Callithrix jacchus: one gene and its partner. Each later gene encodes a partner of the first gene's protein in a complex. Links are inferred from orthologs where the notes say so. Each region holds a gene or a part of one and is shown in the gene's direction. Other genes may lie near its edges.

Region 1 (5,232 bases):
GAAGGCTGAAGCTGGAGGATCACCTGAGGTTGGGAGTTCAAGACCAGCCTGACCAACATGGAGAAACCCTGTCTCTACTAAAAATACAAAATTAGCCAGGTGTGGTGGCACATGCCTGTAATCCCAGCTACCCGGGAGGCTGAGGCAGGAGAATTACTTAAACCCGGGAGGCGGAGGTTGCAGTAAGCCGAGATCGCGCCATTGCACTGGGCAACAAGAGGAAAACTCCGTCTCAAAAAGAAAAAGTCTGCACACATAGAGAATCGTATTGATATACATGCATACATAAGCAATCAGGAATGCAGCGGTGGATTTCCAAATAGCTGGGAAACTAGTCAATATCAACAGAGAATTAATTGCAGCTCCTCTAGATGCAATCATTTGCATTTCTATGAACAAGAACTGTTTGCATTACTATCAGTTTTCTACAACTTTTAAAATTGTAAAATAGGGCCAGATATGGTTGCTCTCACCTATAATCCCAATGTTTTGGGAGGCTGAGGCAGGCAGATCACCTGAGTCAGGAGTTTGATACTAGTCTGGCCAACACAATAAAACTCCATCTCTACTAACTAAAAATACAAAAATTAGCCAGGTGTGGTGGTGCATGACTGTGATCCCAGCTACTCAATAGGCTGAGGCAGAAGAATTGCTTGAACCCAAGAGGTGGTGGAGGTTGCAGTGAATCGAGATGGTGCCACTGCACTCCAGCCTGGGCAACAGAGCAAGCAAGACTCCATCTCAGAAAAAAAAAAATTGGTAAAATAGCTAAAAGACAGTGAAAGATGGAGATGGCACTAAGGGATGTGTTAGGACAGCCAGTACCCTTTTTTGCCCATTTCAAAATCTTTCACAGTGCTTCCTGATGAAAGGGATGCCCTTCTCAGGAACTTCTACCTATGGCTCCTCGACAAGACTGTGCCCTTTTGTTGCAAGGGAAGCTGGGAAATTCAACATCTTCAGCTGGACACACTGTGTCAAGTAAAATGGAATTCTGTTAGTAAGAAAATTGGCCTCACCTACACACCCACTTGATGTGTTAAAGGTGCTAGATTATGTAATAATTTTTAGCATATGTGATTATGAGTCTTCCTGTGTGCACATCTGCTGTTTTTGATATCTTAGCATCACTCTCTTTTCTGGTAATAGTATCTCAATTTTCTTCTGGCACATATCCTATCACCAGTCTCCAAACTCAGGTCCAAGGACGGACACTTGACTCAGGGCTTGATTAGTCAGGATGGTTAATTTAAGAATGGATATAACTCGAGCCAGACTAATCAGATTCAACTTGGATTTTCATTGCACTAAAACTGTAACTTACACTAGAAAATAATAAGACATCTGAAGGATATTTAATCAATCTACTTGGTGCACAAGTAGATCCCTGTATCCTTTGCAGTAATTCCACTGCCTCTCCCAAGAGTCTGTGACCACTGGGATGTTTCCTTTTTCATACATCATTCCTCCTTTTAGTTCCTGAGAGCTGAAAGACTGTGGAGTGTGATAGGAAATGCAAATCTGGGTTTAAATGCCACTTGTGTCAGGTAGAGTCCACCCAGAAAACAGAACCCCATCCCAGTATGCAAAACAAAGAATTTAAGGCAGGGAATTGGTTACACAAGAATGGAACTGTTGAAAAGCTAAACAGGTGGTGAGACAACACAGAGATTAGCAACAGCAGGAAGCCATCACCGCCCCTAGGCTGGAGACTAGATCCCGAGAATGTGCTATGTTTTAGGAGTCCAGGGACTGTGATACTCTAACAATTCAGAGGGAGACCCAGTTACTGCCAGAAATGCAGCTCGAGGGGTGAGGAGGGGTAGATGGCAAGGAGGCCGGCTGGCATGGCTGTCTCCCATTGGCTGATCATAGCTAGAAGCACGGAACAAGGAAGCTTGAAGCAGCAGTCTGCAGAGGTAAGCAACCTTTCCATACAAAGTAGGGCAGGAAAAGCTTGAAGAGTGAAACTGAAGACACTGGTCTATTACGCAAAACTGGTCACCTGTCCATATTTCATCACATCCAAGATGCCATTGTTAGTTAGATGCTCCATAATTTGTGCATTACTATTATTATTATTTTTGAGACGGAGTTTCACTGTTGTTACCCAGGCTGGAGTGCAATGGCGCGATCTCGGCTCACCACAACCTCCGCCTTCTAGGTTCAAGCAATTCTCCTGCCTCAGCCTCCCGAGTAGCTGGGACTACAGGCACGCACCACCATGCCCAGCTAATTTTTGTATTTTTAGTAGAGACGGAATTTCACCTTGTTGACCAGGATGGTCTCGATCTCTTGACCTCGTGATCCATCTGCCTCGGCTTCCCAAAGTGCTGGGATTGTAGGCGTGAGCCACCACGCCTGGCCTTAATTTGAGCATTATTAAGAAAGAGAATTGCTGCCAACTAAAAGAGGACACCATGCTAAGATTCCATTCATTGCAATGCAACAGCAATGAGATGTTGATGGCTGGGCACAGTGGCTCATGCCTGCAATCCCAGCACTTTGGGACACCCAGGCGGATGGATCACCTGAGGTCAGGAGTCTGAGACCAGCCTGACCAACATGGAGAAACCCAGTCTCTACTAAAAATTCAAAATTAGCCAGGTGTAGTGGTGCATGCCTTTAATCCCAGCTTCACGGGAGGTTGAGGCAGGAGAATCACTTGAACTCCAGAGGTGGAGTTTGGGGTGAGCCGAAAGTGTGCCATTGTACTCCATCCTGGGCGACAAGAGCGAAACCCCACCTCAATTAAAAAAAAAAAAGAGAGAGAGAGAGAGAGAGAATGCAATGGTTACTGCCGAGTTTAAAATGAGGAAACTGAGGCCAGTATAAGAACAATTAGATGCCAATTTATTTATCTCCCGGAAGAGGTTCTGTGGTCCCGGGGAAAGGGGCCAGAGAAGTCACGCCTCGGATGCATGGGGTGGGCTGCCACTGAGTAAGGCTCAGCGGGATTTCTTCAATTTTCGCGGGTTCAGCTGTATAGTTTAGTGCTGAGGTTCAAATGCATGGCTTCGTGCTGAGAGTGCATCGTCTAGTGCTGAATATAGACCTGGGGGCAGAATGCAGAAGTGGGCGAGGGGAGCCCGCATGGAGGAGCCAGATGCTGAGTAATGTGTTCTGCCTGATAAACTGTTAGCAGGCATAGAGAGGGGTGGGTGTTGTTCATCCGGCTCTTAGCAAGGCTGGCCTTACAGAGAGAGAGATATTGAAATGTGAAAAATATGCACCTTAAGGTCAATAAAACTATTTGCTGTGTGATCTTAAGCACATGTGAACCTAATTCATGTCCCCCTTTGATTCTTGATTTCAACATCTGGAAATTAGGACAGTTATGCCTACTTCACAGGGTTTTTATTTTGTTTTTGTTTCTTTCTGAGACAAGGTCTCATTCTGTTGTCCAGGCTGGAGTGCAGTGGCACCATCGTAGCTCATTGTAGCCTTGACCTCCTGGGCTCAAGTGATCCTTCCACCTCAGCCTCCTGAGTAGCTTGGTCCACGGGTGTGCACCACCACACTTGGTATTTCTCTTTCTTTCTTCCCTTTCTTTTCTTTCTCTCTCTTTTCCCTCCCTCCCTCCCCCTTCCTTTGTTTTCTGTTTCTGTAGAGTTAGGTTCTCCCTATGTTGCCCAGGCTGGTCTCAGACTTCTGGACTGATACAATCCCACCTTGCCTCCCAAGGTGCTGGGAATACAGACATGAGCCGCTGCACCTGGCCCTTCACAGGGGTTTTGTAAGGATTAAGTCAGTTAATATGTCTAAGATTGTTAACCTTAGTGAGAATAGGAACTTTATCTCTTCGGTTCACTGTAGTATTCCTGGTGCCTAGCACAGTGCCTGGTACATAGTAGGAACCTAAGAAAATTCTGGGAGATGAATTTAGCTGGACTCCTTTCCCCCAAATGAGCACGGTTTCTGGCATATAGTGGGGAGTGGGTGTCAATACATGCAAGCTACTATTATTTTTTATTTTATTTTTATTTATTTATTTTTTTGAGATGGAGTTTCGCTCTTGTTACCCAGGCTGGAGTGCAATGGCGCGATCTCGGCTCACCACAACCTCCGCCTCCTGGGTTCAGGCAATTCTCCTACCTCAGCCTCCTGAGTAGCTGGGATCACAGGCACGTGCCACCGTGCCCAGCTAATTTTTTCTATTTTTAGTAGAAACGGGGTTTCACCATGTTGACCAGGATGGTCTCGATCTGTTGACCTCGGGATCCACCCGCCTTGGCCTCCCAAAGTGCTGGGATTACTGGTGTGAGCCACCGTGCCCGGCCCAGCTCCTATTATTATAATCAAACATTCTTTGGTGGAAACAAGATCTTTTCTTCTGGCCGGGCGCGGTGGCTCAAGCCTGTAATCCCACTTTGGGAGGCGGAGGTGGGTGGATCACGAGGTCAAGAGATCGAGACCATCCTGGTCAACAAGGTGAAACCCCGTCTCTACTAAAAATACAAAAAATTAGCTGGGCACGGTGGCGCATGCGTGTAATCCCAGCTACTCAGGAGGCTGAGGCAGGAGAATTGCCTGAACCCAGGAGGCGGAGGTTGCAGTGAGCCGAGATCGTGCCATTGCACTCCAGCCTGGGTAACAAGCGCGAAACTCCGACTCAGAAAAAAAAAAAAAGATCTTTCCTTCTTTCACTAGGGTAGTGTTGACTCTCCTGCGAGGGCGGATTTCCTCTTTTATTTAAGAAATATGTCGGGAGGAGGCTACATTCATGAATCTCTGGTGGAGAAGATTGTACCACATGGTTTAGTGCACACACAGATAAGTTGTAAACAGAAAATGAAAGTGGTAGTAGCAACAGTGGTGAATGAAGTTGGCAGGGAAGGAGGGAAATAAATAAAATGGATGTGAGTGAAGAATTAAGCAAAATAGAAAAGAACAATTATTTGCCACATCTATAGAGCATTTTTTGGGTCATCATTCCCCTAACCCTCACATCCTGGCAAGTGTTGTAGTGTTATTCTCGTTTCACAAGTGGGACTCAGGCTGAATATGAAGAGATTTTCTCAAGATGAAACAAGACTCACGGTATGTGGTTAACTCTACCAGGCTTCAGTCTCCTGAGAAAGCCCGAGATGGGCTCCAACTTAGAACACATAAAAGGAGAGTCAACACTACCCTAGTGAAAGAAGGAAAGATCTTTTTTTTTTTCTGAGTCGGAGTTTCGCGCTTGTTACCCAGGCTGGCAACACGGAAGGTGATAACAATTATCGTTACGGT
Region 2 (4,593 bases), on another chromosome or scaffold:
CTCGAAGAGAAAACTATTAGACCTGATAAAGTTATTAGAATTGTAGGATACAAAATTAACATACAAAAATTAGTGGCATTTCTATATACCAACGGTGAACAATCTGAAAAAGAAATTTAAAAAATAATCCCATTTACAAGAGCTACATATAAAATTAAATACCTAGGAATTAACCAAAAGAAGTGAAATGTCTCTATAATGAAAAGTAAAATACACTGGCCAGGCGCAGTGGCTCATACCTGTAATCCCAGCACCTTGGGAGTCTGAGGCAGGCAGATCACAAGGTCAGGAGTTTGAGACCAGCCTGGCCAACGTGGTAAAACCCCATCTCTACTAAAAATACAAAGAAATTAGCCAGGTGTGGTGGCACACACCTGTAAGTAATCTTAGCTACTCAGGAAGCTGAGGCAGGAGAATTGCTTGAACCTGGAAGACGGAGGTGGCAGTGAGCTGAGATCATGCCACTGCACTCCAGCCTTGGTGACAAAGTGAGATTCCATCTCAAAAAAAAAAAAAAAAGAAAAGAAAAGTAAAATACACTGAAGAAATTGAAGAGGACACCAAAAAAATGGAAAAAGATTCCATGTTCATGGATTGGAAGAATCAATATTTTAAAAAAATGTTTTTTTTAAAGACAGGGTTTCACCATGTTGGTCAGTCTGGTCTCAAACTCCCGACCTCAGGTGATCCACTCACCTCAGCCTCCCAAAGTGCTGGGATTACAGGCATGGGCCACCACGCCTGGCCTAATACTGTTTTTTTATTTTTATTTTTTTAACTTTTTTTTTTTTTGAGACAGACTTTCTGTTACCCAGGCTGGAGTGCAGTGGCACAATCTGAGCTCACTGCAACCTCCGCCTCCTGGATTCAAGTGATTCACCTGCCTCAGCCTCTTGAGTAGCTAGGATTACAGGTGTGCACCACCAGGCCCTGCTAATTTTTGTATATTTAGTAGAGAAGGGGTTTCACCATGTTGGTCAGGCTGGTCTCGAACTCCTGACCTCGTGATCCACCTGCCTTGGCCTCCCGAAATGCTGGGATTACAGGCATGAGCCACCACGCCCAGCAGAAGAATCAATATTGTTAAAATGTCCATACTACCCAAAGCAATTAGCAGATTCAATGCAATCTCTATTAAAATACCAATGACATTCTTCACAGAAACAGAAAAGGCCATCCTAAAATTTATATGTAACCACGAAAGACCCAGAATAGCCAGAGTTAATCCTAAGCCAAAAGAACAAAACTTGAGGAATCACATTACCCGACTTCAGATTATACTCCATAGTTATAGTAATGAAAACAACACGGTACTGGCATAAAAACAGACACAGACCAATGGAAGAGAATAGAGAACCCAGAAATAAATTCACACACCTATAGCAAACTCATTTTTTGACAAAGTTGCCAAGAACACATAGTGGGGAAATATAGTATCTTCAATAAATGGTGCTGGGAAAACTTCATATCCATATGCAAAAGAATGAAACCAAACCCCTATCTCTTGATGTATAAAAAAGTCAATTTAAAATGGATTAGGGCCAGGCGTGGTGGCTCACACCTGTAATCTCAGCACTTTGGGAGGCCAAGGTGGGCGGATCACTAGAGGTCAGAAATTCGAGACCAGCCTGACCAACATGGTGAAATCCCATCTTTAAAAAGAAAAAAGAAAAAGAATAAATAAATAAATAAAATGGATTAAAGATTTAAATCGAAGACCTCAAACTGTGAAACTACTGCAAGAAAACATTGAGGAAAACTTCCATGACATTGGTCTGGGCAATGACTTCTTGAGCAATATCCAACAAGTACAGACAACCAAAGCAAACATGGGCAAACTTGATTGCATAAAGTTAAAAAGCTTCTGCACAGCAAAGGATACAATCACCGAAGGGAAGAGACAACCCACGGAATGGGAGAAAATATTTGCAAACTACCCCTCTGACCAGGGAATAATAATCAGAATATATACATAAGGAGTTCAAACAACTCTATAGGCAAAAATATAATAATATGATCAAGAAATTGACAAAATATTTGAATAGACATTTCTCAAAAGAAGACACGAATGGCAAATAGGCATATGAAAAGGTACTTAGCATCACTGATCATCAGAGAAATTCAAATTAAAACTACAAGATATCATCTCACCCCAGTTAAAATGACTTATATCCAAAAGACAGGCAATAACAAATGTTGGTGAGGATGTGGACAAAAGGGAATACTTGTACACTGTTGGTGAGAAAGTAAATTAGTATAACCACTATGGAGCACAGTTTCGAGGTTCCTCAGAAAACTAAAATTGAGCTACCATATGATCCAGCAATCCTACTGCTGGGTATATACCCAAAAGAAAGGAAATGAGTTTATCAGAGAGATATCTGCACACCTACGTTTCTTGCAGCAGCGTTTACAACAGCTAAGATTTGGAAGTAACCTAAGTATCCATCAACAGATGTTTGAATAAAGAAACTGTGGTACATATACACAATGGAGTACTATTTGGCCAAAAAAAAAAAAAAATGAGATCCTGTCATTTGCAATAATATGGATGGAACTGGAGATCACTATGTTAAGTGAAATAACGCAGGCCCTGAAAGAGTAACATCACATGTCCTTACTTATTTGTGGGATATAAATATCAGAACAATTGAACTCATGGACACAGAGAATAGAAGGTTACCAGATGCTGGGAAGGATAGTGGGGGATTGGGTAGTAGAAGTGGGGTTGGGTAATGGGTACAAAAAAATAGAATGAGTAAGATCTTCTAGGGCTGGGCGCAGTGGCTCAAGCCTGTAATCCCAGCACTTTGGGAGGCCGAGGAGGGTGGATCACTAGGTCAAGAGATCGAGACCATCCTGGTCAACATGGTGAAACCCCGTCTCTACTAAAAATACAAAAAATTAGCCGGGCGTGGTGGCGCGTGCCTGTAATCCCAGCTACTCAGGAGGCCGAGGCAGAATTGCCTGAACCCAGGAGGCATAGGTTTCTGTGAGCCGAGATCGCGCCATTGCACTCCAGCCTGGGTAACAAGAGTGAAACTCTGTCTCAAAAAAAAAAGAGATCTTCTATTTGACAGTGCAATAGGGCAATAGGGTGACTTTTATGGTTTGGATTTTTTTCCCACCCAAATCTCATCTTGAATTGTAATCCCCATAATCCCCACATATCTGGGGAGAGACTTGGTGGGAGGTGATTGGATGGTGGAAGTGGTTTTCCGTATGCTGTTCTTATGATAGTGAGTGAGTGCTTACGAGATCGGGTAGTTTTATAAGGGGTTCTTCCCACCAGCCCTGTGGTGGTGCATGCCTGTACTCGGGAGGCCGAGGCTGGAGGGTCACTTGAGACTGGGAAGTTGTGGCTACAATGAAACATGATCATGCCACTGCACTCCAGGTTGGGTCGAGTAGTAAGATGCTGTGTCTAAAACCAAAAACAAAGTAAAATCCTTGACTGGCAAAATATTCTCTATCAGCTTTCTTTTTAAAAAATTACATAAGTAAAACATGTATCTTTAGTTATTTATCTCTTTAATCAGATTACCTTCTGTAATAATTCTTTGGGAATTATTCTACAGGAGGGCAGTCATTGACGCCTGTAACCCCAGCACTTTGGGATGCCAAGTCAGGAGGATTGCTTGAGCCCAGGAGTTTGCAACCAGCCTGGTCAACGTAGACCCTGTCTCTACCAAAAAATAAAAATAAAAAACAAAAAACGGGCATGGTGGCGTGTGCCTGTAGTCCACGGTATTTGGGAGGCTGAAGTGGAAGGATCCCTTGAGCCCAGGAAGTCAAGACTGCAGTAAGCCAAGACAGCACCACTGCATTCAAGCCTGGGCAGCAGAGTGAGGCCCTGTCTCAATAAAAACCCACAAAAAACTATGGGGGCATCGTATGGTTGCCAGTGAATAAGGGTTACCAGATAAAAAACAGGACGCGCAATTAAATTCAGCTAAACGAGGACTGTATATTTTTAGTGTAAGTATGTCCAAAATATTGTTGAGGTATACTTACACTAAAACAAGTATTCATTGTTTACCTGAAATTCAAATTAAGTAGGCATCCTATATTTTCATTTGTCAAACCTGGCAATCCTACCAGCACTTTAACATGAAGCTATGAGGTTTGTCTGGATTCATGCTGGTAGGTAAGCACCAATCCATTCAGTTGCCTCAGACGGAACAAAAGCCATTCTCCCTAAAAAAAGAATCTTTTAGTGTGACGGTAGGTAGCAACGAAGCACGGAAGAAACTTGACCCTTTGAGGAACCCGTAACAGACGCAAGTGCCTTAAATGCTACTTTGATTGATTTCCCCGCCCCCTCCATTCTTCTTTTCCTGCAATTGTTCTATCACTTCTTCCCTCTCAAGTCCCGCCCTTTCAGCTACCTCCAACTGCAGAGGAACCGGTTGCTTAAAAGGAGCCGGCAAAAGCGCCTACGTGGAGGCCAGAGGAGCGGAAGTAGTCAGATTTGACTGAGAGCCGTAAAGCGCGGCTGGCTCTCGTTTTCCGGATAACGACTACACCTCCGACTGTCAGTGCCGGCCTTCCTCGTGTAAAGGGATCTGCCGGACCCTTGCAAATTCAATTTCG

What was found.
Region 2: the proteins of DENR (region 1) and MCTS1 are in contact, whole or in part, in a crystal structure (PDB 5ONS), measured with the Homo sapiens proteins. The link is inferred for Callithrix jacchus from reciprocal best matches to the Homo sapiens genes DENR and MCTS1. Residues at the interface, in NP_003668.2 of Homo sapiens: Ala25, Tyr27, Pro28, Leu29, Val31, Tyr33, Cys37, Ser38, Leu39, Pro40, Glu42, Tyr43, Glu45, Tyr46, Met47; in NP_054779.1 of Homo sapiens: Trp39, Gln42, Arg83, His86, Lys87, Tyr88, Pro89, Phe90, Lys99, Ile102, Lys103, Leu106, Ala136, Lys139, Gln140, His141, Ala142, Leu143, Leu170, Asn171, Trp175, Lys178.

Annotation. Positions count from the first base shown.
Region 1 is NC_133510.1:125,922,735-125,927,966, forward strand, and holds the start of DENR (density-regulated protein), read left to right. Parts: upstream 1-1,666; 5' UTR 1,667-1,826; coding exon 1,827-1,919; intron 1,920-5,232. UniProt on the Homo sapiens protein: Translation regulator forming a complex with MCTS1 to promote translation reinitiation.
Region 2 is NC_133524.1:116,475,185-116,479,777, forward strand, and holds part of MCTS1 (malignant T-cell-amplified sequence 1), read left to right. Parts: intron 1-3,578; 5' UTR 3,579-3,617; coding exon 3,618-3,802; exon of another isoform or gene 3,803-4,593. UniProt on the Homo sapiens protein: Translation regulator forming a complex with DENR to promote translation reinitiation.